Pelodiscus sinensis: one gene and its partner. The protein of the gene in region 2 binds, or shares a complex with, the protein of the main gene of each other region. Links are inferred from orthologs where the notes say so. Each region holds a gene or a part of one and is shown on either strand. Other genes may lie near its edges.

The links. Proteins that work in one complex are often made in the same cells at the same time.
Region 1: ERCC3 (region 2) and GTF2A1 share a complex: the UniProt entries of both Homo sapiens proteins name them as parts of the TBP-based Pol II pre-initiation complex. The link is inferred for Pelodiscus sinensis from reciprocal best matches to the Homo sapiens genes ERCC3 and GTF2A1.

The regions. Positions count from the first base shown.
Region 1 is NC_134714.1:38,763,707-38,771,192, reverse strand, and holds the start of GTF2A1 (transcription initiation factor IIA subunit 1), read right to left. Parts: upstream 3,101-7,486; 5' UTR 2,991-3,100; coding exon 2,961-2,990; intron 2,390-2,960; exon of another isoform or gene 1,911-2,389; intron 1-1,910. UniProt on the Homo sapiens protein: TFIIA is a component of the transcription machinery of RNA polymerase II and plays an important role in transcriptional activation. TFIIA in a complex with TBP mediates transcriptional activity.
Region 2 is NC_134717.1:3,276,979-3,284,251, reverse strand, and holds the start of ERCC3 (general transcription and DNA repair factor IIH helicase/translocase subunit XPB), read right to left. Parts: upstream 3,044-7,273; 5' UTR 2,748-3,043; coding exon 2,729-2,747; intron 1-2,728. UniProt on the Homo sapiens protein: ATP-dependent 3'-5' DNA helicase/translocase. Binds dsDNA rather than ssDNA, unzipping it in a translocase rather than classical helicase activity. Component of the general transcription and DNA repair factor IIH (TFIIH) core complex.

The DNA.
Region 1 (7,486 bases), on a different chromosome or scaffold from region 2:
CCGTGTAAGTCGGGGACTGCCTGTATATAAAAGGAAGTTGGTGAATTCATATTCCAGCAGCAGCGGGGGGTCCTGCGCTTCTGAGGCTTTGCGGGTTTGCTCGCGGTGCCCCTGGTCTGCTGGGGACCGTCTCCAGCAAACCAGGGGCACCGGGAGCAAAGCGGTCCAGCGCCAGAGCAAAGCCTCAGAGGCGAGGCACCCCTACCTCGAGTCCCATCTTCACTCCTTCCCCCTCACCTACTCCGAGTCCCCCCATCCCCTGCCTCCAGCCCCCCCACACTTGAACACCTGCCCTGACTCCCCTACACCCAACCCTTTGCCCTGAGCCCCCACATTCTGCCCTCACTCCAGAACCCGGCAACCTAAGCTCCCCAACCAGTCCCCTGCCCTGACTCCTGCACCCCATCCACTATCCTGAGGCACCCCACCCCATATCCTGATCTAGGGATACGAAGGTTTAACCAATACTCCTTGTGGGTTAAGATGAACAGATGAGGCTGAAGCAGCTCTCCATCTGCTGCAGGTAGGGGCTGCTCCAGCCTCACAGGGGGCCTGCTATGGACAGGCAGGGGCTGCTGTGACTGGGATGCTCAGAGCAGTCCCTGTCTCTGAGGTGCCCTGACCCGGTCACAAGGAAGAGCTGCTCCATTGTCCCAGTCAGAGCACCCTTTGTCCGCAGCCCCGCAGGGTACCCTGCAGGCAGGGACCGGCCAGGCTGCAGCAGAGGGAAGGAGGGAGGGGTGTCCCCTCTCTCTCCCCCAGCAGTGGGAAGGGGGAGCACACCCATCCTCCCCCTTTTAATCGATTAAACAATATGTTTAGCTGGTTAGCCAATTAAAGAGGATTTTACATCCCTACCCTGAGCCTCTGCCCTAAGCCCGCCACACATCTCACAGCTCCCTGCCCTAACTCCTGAACCAAGCACCCCACACACTCAACCTCCTGCCCTGAGCCCTGTCATTTAAGTAAAGCATGTACTTTTTTTTAATTTAAAAAATTACTAAAGACCAAGCAATGCCAGGTACATCTGCTAGTACTACATAGCCTAAGTAGGTCTTTGTTACAAAATAATAAACCCTGAAACTATCAATGTGATTACAGTCTATGCTCTTTGAATGTCTGCTGACATTTATTCTCACTACATGCCACTTACTGGACATATAATAAATTGCCATGTACAGAATAGCTGACTAATTTCACTGACTGAAACCAAAAGAAAATACAAAGGCAACAGACATCCTTTTTCACATACATAAGCGTGGCTCTTATGCTATAGAGGGCTACCTGGTATTTAAAATCTGATGCAATAAAATATTTGCACAATTGATATTATGTTATGTCCACAAAAATTATGAAAACTTTTAACAAATTCTAGCTCTTCCTGGAGAGTAATAACATGTCTGCACAACCTTCAACTTTATTATCTGGAACAGATATTTTAAACTACATTAGACTACAATATGTTGCCAACATTTAAACATGTAAAACTTCACCCTTAAGTAAACTTTTGCTAAGTATCATTAAATAGCTAGCCTCAGTTCTCTCTATAAAATACTAGATAAGAATAATTTTATTTCAACTACAGCTTTACCACAGCAGAAAAGACATGTAAGAGGGCAGACATTTATATACTAGGCACTATTTGTTGCATTGTTTAATAGCTAAGGACTCCAGATTACTTTCTAAATAGGGTGAGGATTGGTGCTCCTCCACTAAACAACACACAAAAAGGAAAGAATACTGCCTAATTTAGAAAAGATCAATCATCAACCTAAATAAACAGAGTGATAAGCAACTGCTACTTTAAAATTCCACAGCTTCAACAATTGGGATTACGAACTGCAGACTAATACGGAAGGGACTAATAGCTAAGCAGAAAAAGCAGGAACTGAGTGACAAAAAGAGCGTGTCTGTGTCTCTCTCAGTCTCTGCCTCTGGTGCATGCACCTCCCAGCAGCTCTCTCCCTATTTAAAGGCTGATGTGGTGTTTAAATGGAGAGGCGGTGACGTGGGGCTGGAAAGCACCTTCCCATCCTGGCAGAGTCTATATTAGAGAGCGGCAATGGCTCTATATAAACAGGGCAGTCACAGGGAGGAGGAACACAAGGAGCAGGGAGACAGAAAGGCAGGGGAAGCCATGATGGATCTCACAGCGAAACACAAACAAGGGGGCCAAGCCTGCACCGTAACCGCCCGGACTGGGGTTTGTCGGCAGCTTTTCGGGGGTAGGCTTGTGGATGGGTTTATTCTTGTCAGAGGGAAGGGAAAGAAGCGATCGGTGGGGCTTGGCGGCTACAAAGATTTATGTGACTGCTTATTGCACATCTATGTGAATACAAGTAAAACAAGCCACCGCCGAGAGTGCAGAAAGCACAAGGGGGAGGAAGGGGTGAGTTGTTCGGGTTTTTTTTAATTACTTCCTTGCCACGGGGAAGAGACTGGAGGGGGGTTTCTCCTCCGTCAGCCGAGTCTGCAGGGCTGGGACAAGTGCTTTTCAACCATTGCCTCCTTCTTATAAAGCTACATAAAATGGCTCCAGCAGCGCCAGGCTGAGTTCGCCTCCACATACGCCACCCGCCCGCCCCCTCCCCCGGCACAGGAGGCAGCGCCTGGCTTCCCCGGTAGCCTCTCCCCCCAGGGGAAGCCGCTCGCCCCCTCCCCAGCCGCCCCCCAGCCTTGTGGCGGTGCAGGCGACGGAGACACTCGGCTCCCCCCTCGGCGCTCCTGGCTGGGAGACAGGCTGCTGCCCGCCGCCGCCGCCGCTCCCGTCCCACCCCGCCGGCTCTGGCGGGTCCCGGCGCCGCTCCCCGGCAGCGGCGGCAGAAGTTGGTTCCTGGTTGGGGGGCGCTGCCCCGCTCAGGCCGGCCGTTCCCGCGGCGGGGCCGGCCAGGGATGGCGGGGGGCTCTGAGGCCCGCCTGTCGCCCGAGCCCCCCCGCTCCCTCCCCGTCCCGGTCCTTACCACGGGGTTTGTGTTAGACGAGCTCGCCATGTCCCGAGCCCCCCGGGACACCCCACCGCGGCGGAGTCGCCCCTAAAACAATAAACCTGCCCGGCGCGTCCCCCCGACCCCGCGCGTCCCGCCCCGGCGCACGGGGAGCCCCGCGGCCTGGCCCGGCCTCCTTCGCCGGCCCTCGGGCTGCAGCCGCCGCCGCCAGCCGCCCGCTCTGCCCGCTTCGCCCCTTTATATAGCAAGAGCCGAGCAGCTGCGCGAGCGGCCAGGGCGAGAGGGGGACGCGGGCGGGGGGAAGCGAGGCTGCGCGAGAGCTTGTGGGACCGAGCTCCGCCCGCCTGAAGTCACGTGGGAGGCTCGCCCTGCCGCCATGACACCTACTGAGGCGGAAGTAGCGAAGAGGTCACCTGCGCGCTCCCGCTCAGACCTAGCGAGGCGGAAGGGAAGGTCCTGGACGCTTAGTGCCTGTGCCTGGTGCTGCAGCCAGGGGCTCATGTCCGCTGCGTGTGTGCTCCGAGATGGGGCTTGCGGGGCATCCGAGAGCTTCTCCCCGGGACACGGGCGGCGATTCAGCCTTGTAGTCGTGGGGAGGCGGAGGCTGCAGGGCGCTCCCTGGCCGAGATGCATTGGTAGCATCGCCTTTTGCATCAGTGTGTATTCTAACCTGCAGCCCCTGATCTGTGCTCGAACCCGGCTTGTCTCCGGCATCTGTCTCCATAGAGCATAGGAACAGTGGATGAGAGTGAGTGGTGGTAAATTTAAAAAAAAAAATCTAGTAAAGGGACTTACATTTTTCTGTAAGGCTTAATTAATTCCCCAAAAATATCGATGCTAAGAGCTAAGCAAGATTTTAAAAGACATTAACAAAGCTTTTCATGGTTACTTTACAGAGGATAACAAGAAAGGGATATGAATTTTTATGTCTTTCATCTTACATTTAGGCTAGTGGTGGGCAGTCTGCAAGCCGCATGCAGCCCATCAGAGTTCTATGAATGACTTATGCATAGTGTTGCCTGATTCTGCTGGCTTCTGTCTGCATAAATTTTTTTCCTACAGGTATTACTAAAGCGTTTTGCACGTATAGTAAGGGCGCAAGAAGTACGTTCTGATTGCACACAACGTTGACTGTGAGAGCCATGTATTCCCTCTACATTCAAACCACTGCAATCAGCAATCTGCACACCCCACAAATTATAGGTGAGCAAGCACTCAGCGACAGATATAGGGCAGGGCGAGCGGGGTGGCTGTCCCGGGCCCCGTGCTTCCAGAGGCCCCACACATGCGCTATGGCGCATGCGCTGTGTCAAAGCGGGGGGGGGGCGTAAAATTGTGTTGCCCAGGGCCCTGCAAAACCTTCCACCCTGCAAGCACTGTTAGCAAAACTACCCTATCCCGAGAATCCATTTTGGTTACAACAATCTTTCAGCCTACTGAGATGGAGGGTCTCTCATGCAGCCCACCTACTAGCCCAGGTTGCCCATCACTGATTTAGTCTATAAGATCCTTGAGCCAGAGTCTATGTTTTTGCTCTTTGTTTGTACAGTCAGGCCCGCTGACAGATGAGGGTAAAGGGGGCAGCTGTTCTGAGCCTGGCAATTCAAAGGGGACCACTGCTGTCAGCCACTACCACAGAAGCAATAGTGGCTGGAGCCCCAGGTCCTTTAAATGATTGCTGGAGCGCTAAACAGCATGCTCCAGGCAGCTCTCAGCACTGGCAGGGGGTGGAGAGGCGAGCACAGTGTGCTCTGGACGGTGCTGATGCCTCCAGCTCTGCCCCTTTTGCCTGAGGCCCTTCCCCGTCCAGGAGCATGGAGTTATTCTCCCCACTTTATTGAGGAACCCAATAAATCTGCTTCCCCCCACCCCCATCATATACAGTGGAGTGGGTCCTGGACCATGACTAGTCCTGTTCAGTTCTACAGTTACACAAATAATAATAATGATAGAAATGTAGCAGTGTTAGTCTGGTGTAGCTGAAACAAAATACAGGACTATGTAGCACTTTAAAGACTAACAAGATGGTTTATTAGATGATGAGCTTTCGTGGGCCAGACCCACTTCCTCAGATCAAATAGTGGAAGAAAATTGTCACAACCATATATACCAAAGGATACAATCAAAAAAATGAACACCTATGAAAAGGACAAATCTAATTTCAGAACAGAAGGGGGATGGGGGGGTGGGGGAAGGTAAATGGTATGGTAAATGGTATCCTGGAATGGGGACAATGATAATATTGAATATTTAGAGCATGTAGTTGCTAACAGGACCAGTGAAAGAAATCTCAAATTGTGTATCTTTTTCTGATTTAACAGTGCTGTCTAGATGTAGCCAGTGTCTGCTGAATCAGAACAGCCCATAGGGATGAATACATCTTGAAACAACAGCTCTAAGATGTGTGAATTTTTCCCTTCATCTCAATGAGTGTACCATCCCCATTCCCGAAAGCTTGAGTCTCTATGATATGCATTAAGCATGTCTGCTCTCAACTCTTCATCCCCATTTCAGCTGTGTGTTCTTGACACGTGGCTCCTAACATGCCTGATCTGAGCTCCCCACCCAGAAGGACAGGGCTTCCCTAGATCTCCAAAGCCCCCTCATTCTCCTCCACTTGTGATCCAGCACCCTCAGGTCTTTTTTAATCCCCCTCCAATTTCCTTGAGTCCAGTTATCAACTCTCCCAGCCCCTATCCAGTGACCTCTCCTGGCCCCACGTTCCTATCCATCCTTTTAGCCCTGTTTGGCCCTCACTAATTTGATTCTACACCCACACCCACGCCCCAAGTCATCCCATATTTCATGACCCTAGAAGGCAAGGGAGGCCAATAATTAATCTGATGCAGAGCTACCTACCTGATTCTTTTATAAAAAGCTGCATGCCATCCTCCAAGTCTCATGGATACTTTAGAGGAGTCCCAGACACAGCCCCTGCTATGAACAGCGAGGAGAAGCATGGGGGACTGACTACATGCAATCCATCTGTGTGGCAAGTCAGGATGTGTTTTTGACTCCATTGCAATCCAGCTACTCCTGATACTCAAATGCAAGTGAGCCTAATGCAGGGGAAAGAACTTCTTATAAGTATGTAGTTTGCTGTTGATTTACTCTTTTTTCCATTTCTGCTAGAAGTAGTAGTGAAACAAACCAGAAAAGTAGAGTTAGCAGTGCGGTGTTTATGTGCAATGGGATATCCTGTGAATCTTCCATAAAGATCTCAGTAAAGCTTTCATGGAGGTACTCTGCAATCCTCTGCCAAAGACTCCCAGGGAGGGCTGCCTTACTTCTCCCACCATGGCACAACACTCTCCCATGCCATTCAGTGATTTAGTAGGTATCATAGCACACAGACTAGCAGTATCTGGGCCTGGGTAGCAATGAGACACCAGCAGCAGCTGTGCTCTCTCTGTCCCTGTTACCTTCAGGAGTGAGATATCAGCCAAAGTTGACACCACCCAAGGAAAACACTGTGGCTATGTCTAGACTGGCATGATTTTCCGCAAATGCTTTTAACGGAAAAGTTTTTCCGTTAAAAGCATTTGCGGAAAAGAGCATTTAGATTGGCACAGACACTTTTGCGCAAAAGCACTTTTTGCGGAAAAGCGTCCGTGCCAATCTAGACATGGTTTTGCGCAAGAAAGCCCCAATCGCCACTTTCGCCATAGGGCCTTTTTGTGCAAAACAGTTTTTATCTGTCTACACTGGCCCTCTTGTGCAAAAGCATTTGCGCAAGAGGGCTTATCCCTGAGCGGGAGCATCATAGTATTTGCGCAAGAACACTGACAATCTTACATTAGATCGTCAGTGTTCTTGTGCAAATTCAAGCAGCCAGTGTAGATAGCTGGCAAGGCCGCTTTTGCAGAAAAACTTACCAGTCTAGACGCAGCCTGTTAGTATTAATTTTCCATTGCTCTGTACAGTGGGATGGGCAAGAATTTTTGATAGGGGGCCACTCCAAGAATTTGGTAAGTGGTCAAGGACTGCATTCTTCTATATCAACAGAGATGCGGGATCTGGGATGGAAGTTGGGTGCAGAGGGGAGTTTGGGGAAAGGGATTGGGGTGCAGAAGGGAGAGTGGGGTCTGGGAGGGAGTTTGGGTGAAGGAGGTAGTTGTGACCTGGGGCATTGGTCTGGGGTGCAGGAGATTGGGATGTGACCTGGGACAGGAAGGAGTTGTGACCTAGGGTCATAGTTCCCACTAAGGTGCATGCCTGGGCGGCTGCACACAAAAAAATTCTTCCCCCGCCAACCTGTTCTGGAGAGCTGCACAGGCAGCTGCTCTGGAGGGCAGGGCCAGCTGAGACACCATAATGAGGGAGCACTAGGGCGGGGGGAGGTGGGAGCAGCTTGCTCTGGTGGCCAGGGCTTCCACGTAGGTGGGGAGGGGAAACGTTTGTTCTCGTGGCTGGCACCAGGAACAGGCCCTGCCTCATAGTGGAGTGGGGGGTGTCTGCTCCAGTGGCTGGGAATGGAACATGCTGCATGGAAGGGGGGGTTGCTCCAGCGGCCGGGAACATGTGTGTGTTAATAAATTTGG
Region 2 (7,273 bases):
TGAAATGCAGTGCCCAGAACTGGACACAATACTCCAACTGAGGCCTACCTACAAGCTCAGAGTAGAGCGGAAGAATAACTTCTCATGTCTTGCTCACAACACACCTGTTCATGCATCCCAGAATCATGTCGGCTTTTTTTGCAACAGCATCACACTGCTGACTCTCATTCAACTAGTGGTCCACTAGAACCCTAGATCCCTTTCTGCTGTACACCTTCCTAGACAGTCGCTTCCCATTCTGTATGTGTGAAACGGATTGTTCCTTTCTAAGTGAAGCACTTTGCATTTGTCTTTATTAAACTTCATCCTGTTTACCTCAGACCATTTCTCCAATTTGTCTAGATCATTTTGAATTATGACCACATCCTCCAGATTAGTTGCAACCCCTCCCAGCTAAGTATCATCTGCAAACTTAATAAGCGTACTTTCTATGCCAATATCTAAATTGTTGATGAAGATATTGAACAGAGCTGGTCCCAGAACAGACTGCTGGGGAACCCCACTTGTTATACCTTTCCAGCAGGATTGTGAACCATTAATAACTATTCTCTGAGTACGGTTATCCAGCCAGTTATGAACCCACCTTATAGTAACCCCATCTAAGTTGTATTTACCTAGTTGATAAGAATATCATGTGAGACCGTATCAAACGCCTTACTAAAGTCTAGGTATACCACATCCACTGCTTCTCCCTTATCCACAAGACTCCTTATCTTATCAAAAGTGGCAAGGAGTCCTGTGGCACCTTATCTACTAACCGAAGTGTTGGAGCCTAAGTGTTCATGGGCAAGACCCACTTGGTCATATGCATGCAGTGGAAATTCCCAGAGGCAGGTATAAATATGCAGGCCAGAAGAGGTGGATCCAATGAGGGAGGATGAGGCCCACTTCTAGTTGCTGATCTGGAGGTGTGAATACCAAGAGAGGAGAAGCTGCTTTTGTCATCCTAATCCTATCAAAAGCAGCTTCTCCTCTCTTGGGCTATGTCTAGACTGCAAGCCTCTTTCGAAAGAGGCTTTTTTCGAAAGATACTTTCGAAAAAGCCTCTGTTGAAAGAGAGCGTCTAGACTGCACGCGGAACTTTCGAAAAAGCAAGCCGCTTTTTCGAAAGACAACAGCGAGTGAGTCTGGATGCTCTCTTTCTAAAAAGCCCTGTTTGCTTTCAAGAACGCCTTTTTTCGAAAGAGCACTTTCGAAAAAAGGCGTTCTTCCTCGTGGAATTAGGTTTACCGCTGTCGAAAGAAAAGTCGCGTTCTTTCGATTTAATTTCGAAAGAACGCAGCTGCAGTCTAGACGCAGGTGAAGTTTTTTCGAAAAAAGGCTACTTTTAAAAAAAAAAAAAACCCTGAGTCCGGACACAGCCTTGGTATTCACACCTCCACATCAGTTACTAGAAGCGGGCCTCATCCTCCCTGATTGGATCCACCTCGTCATCTCCAGCCTGATTCTGGCCTGCATGTTTATACCTGCCTCTGGGAATTTCCACTGCATGCATCTGACGAAGTGAGTCTTTGCACACGAAAGCTTATGCTCCAACACTGCGGTTAGTCTATAAGGTGCCACAGGACTCCTCGCCGCTTCTGCTGATCCAGGAGCAGGGCTCCTCCTCGGATACTGACCTAGCGAAGAAAGCTACAGGCACCCAGAGGCAGGCGCATGCACAGAAACGCACAGAGGCGCCCCCAGACACACGCACCCACCCACACACACCCCAGACACCCACATCCACCCCCACCCCCGCCGACACCCACCCACACCCCCCCACACACCCTGACACACACCCCCCACACCCGACACACCCACCCCGACACCCGACACACCCCCACCCGACACACACCCCGACACCCCCCCCACACCCGACACACCCCCACCCGACACCCACCCCGACACCCCCCCACACCCGACACACCCCCACCCGACACACACCCCGACACCCCCCCCACACCCGACACACCCCCACCCGACACACACCCCGACACCCCCCCCACACCCGACACACCCCCACCCGACACACACCCCGACACCCCCCCCACACCCGACACACCCCCACCCGACACACACCCCGACACCCGACACACCCCCACCCGACACACACCCCGACACCCCCCCCACACCCGACACACCCCCACCCGACACACACCCCGACACCCCCCCCACACCCGACACACCCCCACCCGACACACACCCCAGACACCCCCCCCACACCCGACACACCCCCACCCGACACACACCCCGACACCCCCCCCACACCCGACACACCCCCACCCGACACACACCCCGACACCCCCCCCACACCCGACACACCCCCACCCGACACACACCCCGACACCCCCCCCACACCCGACACACCCCCACCCGACACACACCCCGACACCCCCCCCACACCCCGACACACCCCCACCCGACACACACCCCAGACACCCCCCCACACCCGACACACCCCCACCCGACACACACCCCGACACCCCCCCCACACCCGACACACCCCCACCCGACACACACCCCGACACCCCCCCCACACCCCGACACACCCCCACCCGACACACACCCCAGACACCCCCCCCCCACCCGACACACCCCCACCCGACACACACCCCAGACACCCCCCCCCACACCCGACACACCCCCACCCCCCGACAGGCTCAGGTCCGGAGGCCCAGGCCGCTGGGGGGGGGGGTCCAGGTACCGCCGCTCGGCCCGGCGCCCCGGGGGGGGGGGGGGTTCTCACCTCGCTCGCGCTTGCCCATCGTCCCGGGCCCGTCACTGCCCAGCCGCGCGACCACCGCTGGGCCCGGCGCCTGCCCTGCGCGTCACTTCCGGCACGGGGACCCGCCCAGCTTGTCACCTAGCAACGCCCATCCCGTGTAGCCCTCCCTCGTCACCCGCCCAATCGCAGCGGCGGTACCGGCCTGACACTCCACCTGCGCGGAGCGGGGCCCCGCCCGCCGGCCGGGCCAACGGCCACCGCGGGGGGGGGGAGGGGCCAGCTCCAGCGCCGCGGCGGGCGGGCTCAGGCGCGCGCCGCCGCCGTTCCCGCGCTCTAACGGCCAGCGCGCGACCGGCCCCCTTGGCGCCCCGCCCCTCCCAGCTCGGCCGAGCCCCGCCCCTTCCCCCGTCACAGACACCCGGGGGAGTGGGCCCCGCCCCTCGTCATAGACACCTAGGGGGTAGGCCCCGCCCCCCCTTCCCACGTCATAAACACCTGGGGGAGCGGGTCCCGCCCCTCCGCGTTTTCGCAATAACGATGGGTCCAATCAGAAACGTCCAATGCGGGTAGCAGATGCTAATCCCGCCGCTGGAGCCAGGGGCAGGTTGCTGCAGCCCCGCCCATTTCAGCGGAGCTTCCTACACAGCTAGTAGTGTGACTATGCATAAAAAATTGCCCAATCAGGGCCATGGTTCTTCGATTTAAGTCATAAAAACAGGTATTTTAACACTTCAGCTGCATCTACACTGGTAGGTTCTTGCACAAGAACAGGTCTAGCTTTGCACATGGCAGTGTGGACGAGCTCTTGTGCAAGAAAGCTCTGACAGCTATTTTAGCTGTAGGGCTTTCTTGCAGAAGAAACCCTTGCCATACGTCCACACTGCCCTCTTAGGCAAGAAGGCTTACACTTGTCCGAAAAGAGCATAGCTCTTGCACAAGAAGCCCTGTCTTCTGCTGCCCTACTGTAAATCTTGCACAAGAGCAGGGGGGCAGGGTGAATTTTTGTGTAACAAAAAATCAGAGGCATTTGTTTTACAGCATGAGGGAGGGTTTTTCACATCTATAAAAGAGGACTGTTGTAGATTTAAACTTTCTAGCTTGGGTGTAGACAGATGCTTTTGGTACCATTACTTGCATGTTATATTTTGCTTTACTTAGAAGATATGTTACTTGTCTAGTGTTGCAAGCAAATGTAATATGTGAATACATATATTTGCTGTCTTGGAGACAAATCAAGAGAAATATAAACTGGAAATAAATATTTTATTAACACTCAAAGTGCCATTATCTATAGTTGTTCCATAGTTCATAAGGTTACATCCTGTAAACCTCTGCACCATAACCTTTCAAAAATGAATAAAAATTTGGAAGAAAAAGCAATCTTTCATTGTGCTAATTCTTGCAGGTTCTCATGCATGATCAACCTAAACAAAGATGTGTACCAGTAATATACAAATTTCATATAAACAAAGTCATTGATCAAACACAAAATATAAACATGGCTTCTTTTAACATCAGATACAAAAAAAACCCCAAACAAAATAAAAGCCATTTACCAGCAAGAAAAAAAAACAGGTAAATACATACAAAAGTAAAAAAAAAAAATCAAAAAAGTTTATACATTTTTACAAGCACAATTTTGAGAATGTAACAAAGTCAAAATGTGCATGAAAAGTGGAAGAAACCACACGTACCAGGCAATTAGTAGGTCCTGTGTCTAACAGAGTATACTGGCTCTTTTCCTAAACTATGGAATTAGAGACATTCAGCAGTGCACTGTGTACCTAGCATGAGAATTTTTACTTGGTATCACTTTAAACATCATACAGGATTTTTATTTTTTAAGCCACAAAAATGTTAAACAAATTGGAAGTCAAAAGTTTGACTGGTATTCTTGAAAGGAGTAAGCCACATTTTTAAAGCATGTTCTGAACTTCTTATGTGCCAGTCAATCAGCGATATAGTAACATGCTTATCTTTTCCAATACCAGAAAACTGGAAAGGGAAAAGGGTAAAGAAAGAGAAGCATTAACATTACATGCAACAGAAAGGACAAGAGATGGAAAAAATCTGACTTTTCCAAGGTTCATTTTGTTTTCACACATTTTTTCAAGTAGCTTTGAGAAGTCAAAGATTGCTTTCCCCTTTTCACAACAGTTATTTTCTCTGTATCACTGACACTAAGCATTTTGGGTTTGTTTTTTTAACAAAATTCTTAGAGAAATCACACTGTTGTCCCTCCAGAGTGCTTTAATATACTTCTAAGTACAATTCATGTCCAATTTTGGAAATACAAATACATTTTGAATGATTAAAAACAAAATTAAAAAAATATTTTCTGAACATCAGCCAGCTGAAAATATATTTATCTAGTAAATTATCTCTCAAAGCTTTTATATATTTAATTATTCTAACTAAACATAGTACCCTTAAAAACAAGTTCATAAAAATGTAGAAATTAAACTGTGGAATAAGACTGCTGGAACATATTTATGTGTACGCACACACACATTCAGTTCATACGCAGAATTACAAGTACACTTTAAAGTTTGGAAAGTTGCTAGATACATTATGGAACTAGTAAGTAATGCTCAACTCCTGAGTTCCTCAACCAAGATATAACCATAGGCTAATACACTTTTACATAAGATATTCCATTTAAAGCAGCAACAGCAGCAGTGCAGTTACTGATAGCAACATCTCAAAAGGAATAAAAAACACATCCAGACAGTAGTACATTGCACACATACGTGATTCTCATACACCCATCAATTGGTCAGAGTATTAAATCAGTGTACTAATTAAACTTTTTCAAAAAATGTGCAAAAAAGTCAACATTGATAGAAAAAAACACCTTTGTGTACATACATTACAAACTGTGCCCAGCATTCAACTGAGAGTAAAAACATTTACAGAGAGAAACTGATAGATTAAATATAGAGAATTTAACAGCTACATAAAAAATGTACATTAGATTAAAAGGGCAAATTTACACATTTATTCATAGCATTGTGAAAATTAAAAAGCCTACTTTCAAATTTATCTAAGTCTCCAACATTTATTTACAATGATATTCCATTAAATGAACTGTGTGACATCTGAGATGGCAGACATTAAGTTTTAATAAATCATTTACATTTTAAAATGAATGACAGATTTAGACCAGTAGTAAGCTAACTATTGTAAAACTGACAGGAAAAAAATGTAATGCTTGTTTTTATATCCACGTTTATATTCTCAGGGGATGGAGGAAGAGAAGATCTATTACAGGGAAAAAAGATGCCAAACTTTCTGAAATATTCCCCATGTTACATTCAGTATAAACCCACATTTTTTTCTTCTCTTCTCCACACAAGAAGTCTGGTCTTGCAATCCTTACTAGCAGGAGTTCCACCAACATGACTGAGTGATCAGGTCAAAAATTCACTAATTTTTATCCAGTCTTTTCTCTCCTTTTAAAAGAGCTAGTCAAAATGAGCTCACTGAATTTTGTCCTTTCAGTACATGAGAGCTCAACTGAACTACACCTTTTGTTGCTACCAATTTTTGCCAAGGTACTGCTAATGGTAGAACGTAAAGTATGATCCAAAAAAGATACTGAAGTAATGTCAGAGAAAATTTAACACACAAACCAAACAGAGTACTCTTTGTTCCTGATCCAGAGTTTGACTTAGAAATCTTATCTTGGGTAGGAAAATTCTGCTCCCTCCAGTGTACATTCATGGCTCTCCCCTTAGGGCAGTGTAAGTCCCATGTTTCTAGGGGGTGAAATTTGGCTCTTAAATTAAAAGGACTACTTCCCCCAACAACCTCTGAGAAGTTGTTTGCTATGGCACGACAAGCAGTTCAGATTACAAATCTACTTTACTTCATGGCTTTCCTTAAATTCCCCCCAACTCAAACTTGGTTATAAGGAGTAAATCATAGGAAAGAAATTTAGTCACCAAATTTTGCATTATGTTAGTGATGTCAATAAGACTGTGTAGAGTTCAAAGCTTTTCATTTTAATGCTGGAATGAATTTTGCACCTCAAAGCAACAACAACAAGCATCCAAATCTATCTTAAAAAATGGGCATTGCTGGATCTCACTTTTACTAGTACCTGGTTTAGTCTATTTAGCAATAGCTTTCTGGTAGATAAGGGTGAGTAACAGTACTAATCTATGAAACATCACTTTTGGCTTTTGGAGAGGGGATAGAAAAGCTTTGGGTTTTTTTTTTTTTTTTTTTTTTTTTTTAACATGATTTGACACTGCATACTTGTCATGAATACAAGATAGGAAGTTCCCAGGGGGTAAGAAATGGTATTGGCAGTAACACCTTTGCTAATCCAAAAAACACCATATGGATTTGCATTCAACCACACAATATATACTTTTTTATATTCATGATAATAGTTTAAAGAACTAGAAGATTAAAAAGCTAACAAACTTAGTTCTACACAACTGTAGATCTGACCAATTTGTTTAAGTCTCTGAAGCTGTAGTTTGACATTGCTCAATGTTGCCTGAAGGAATGGCTTACTACACTGCACTGTGTACCTTCTGCTTCTCCCAGGAAAGCTTT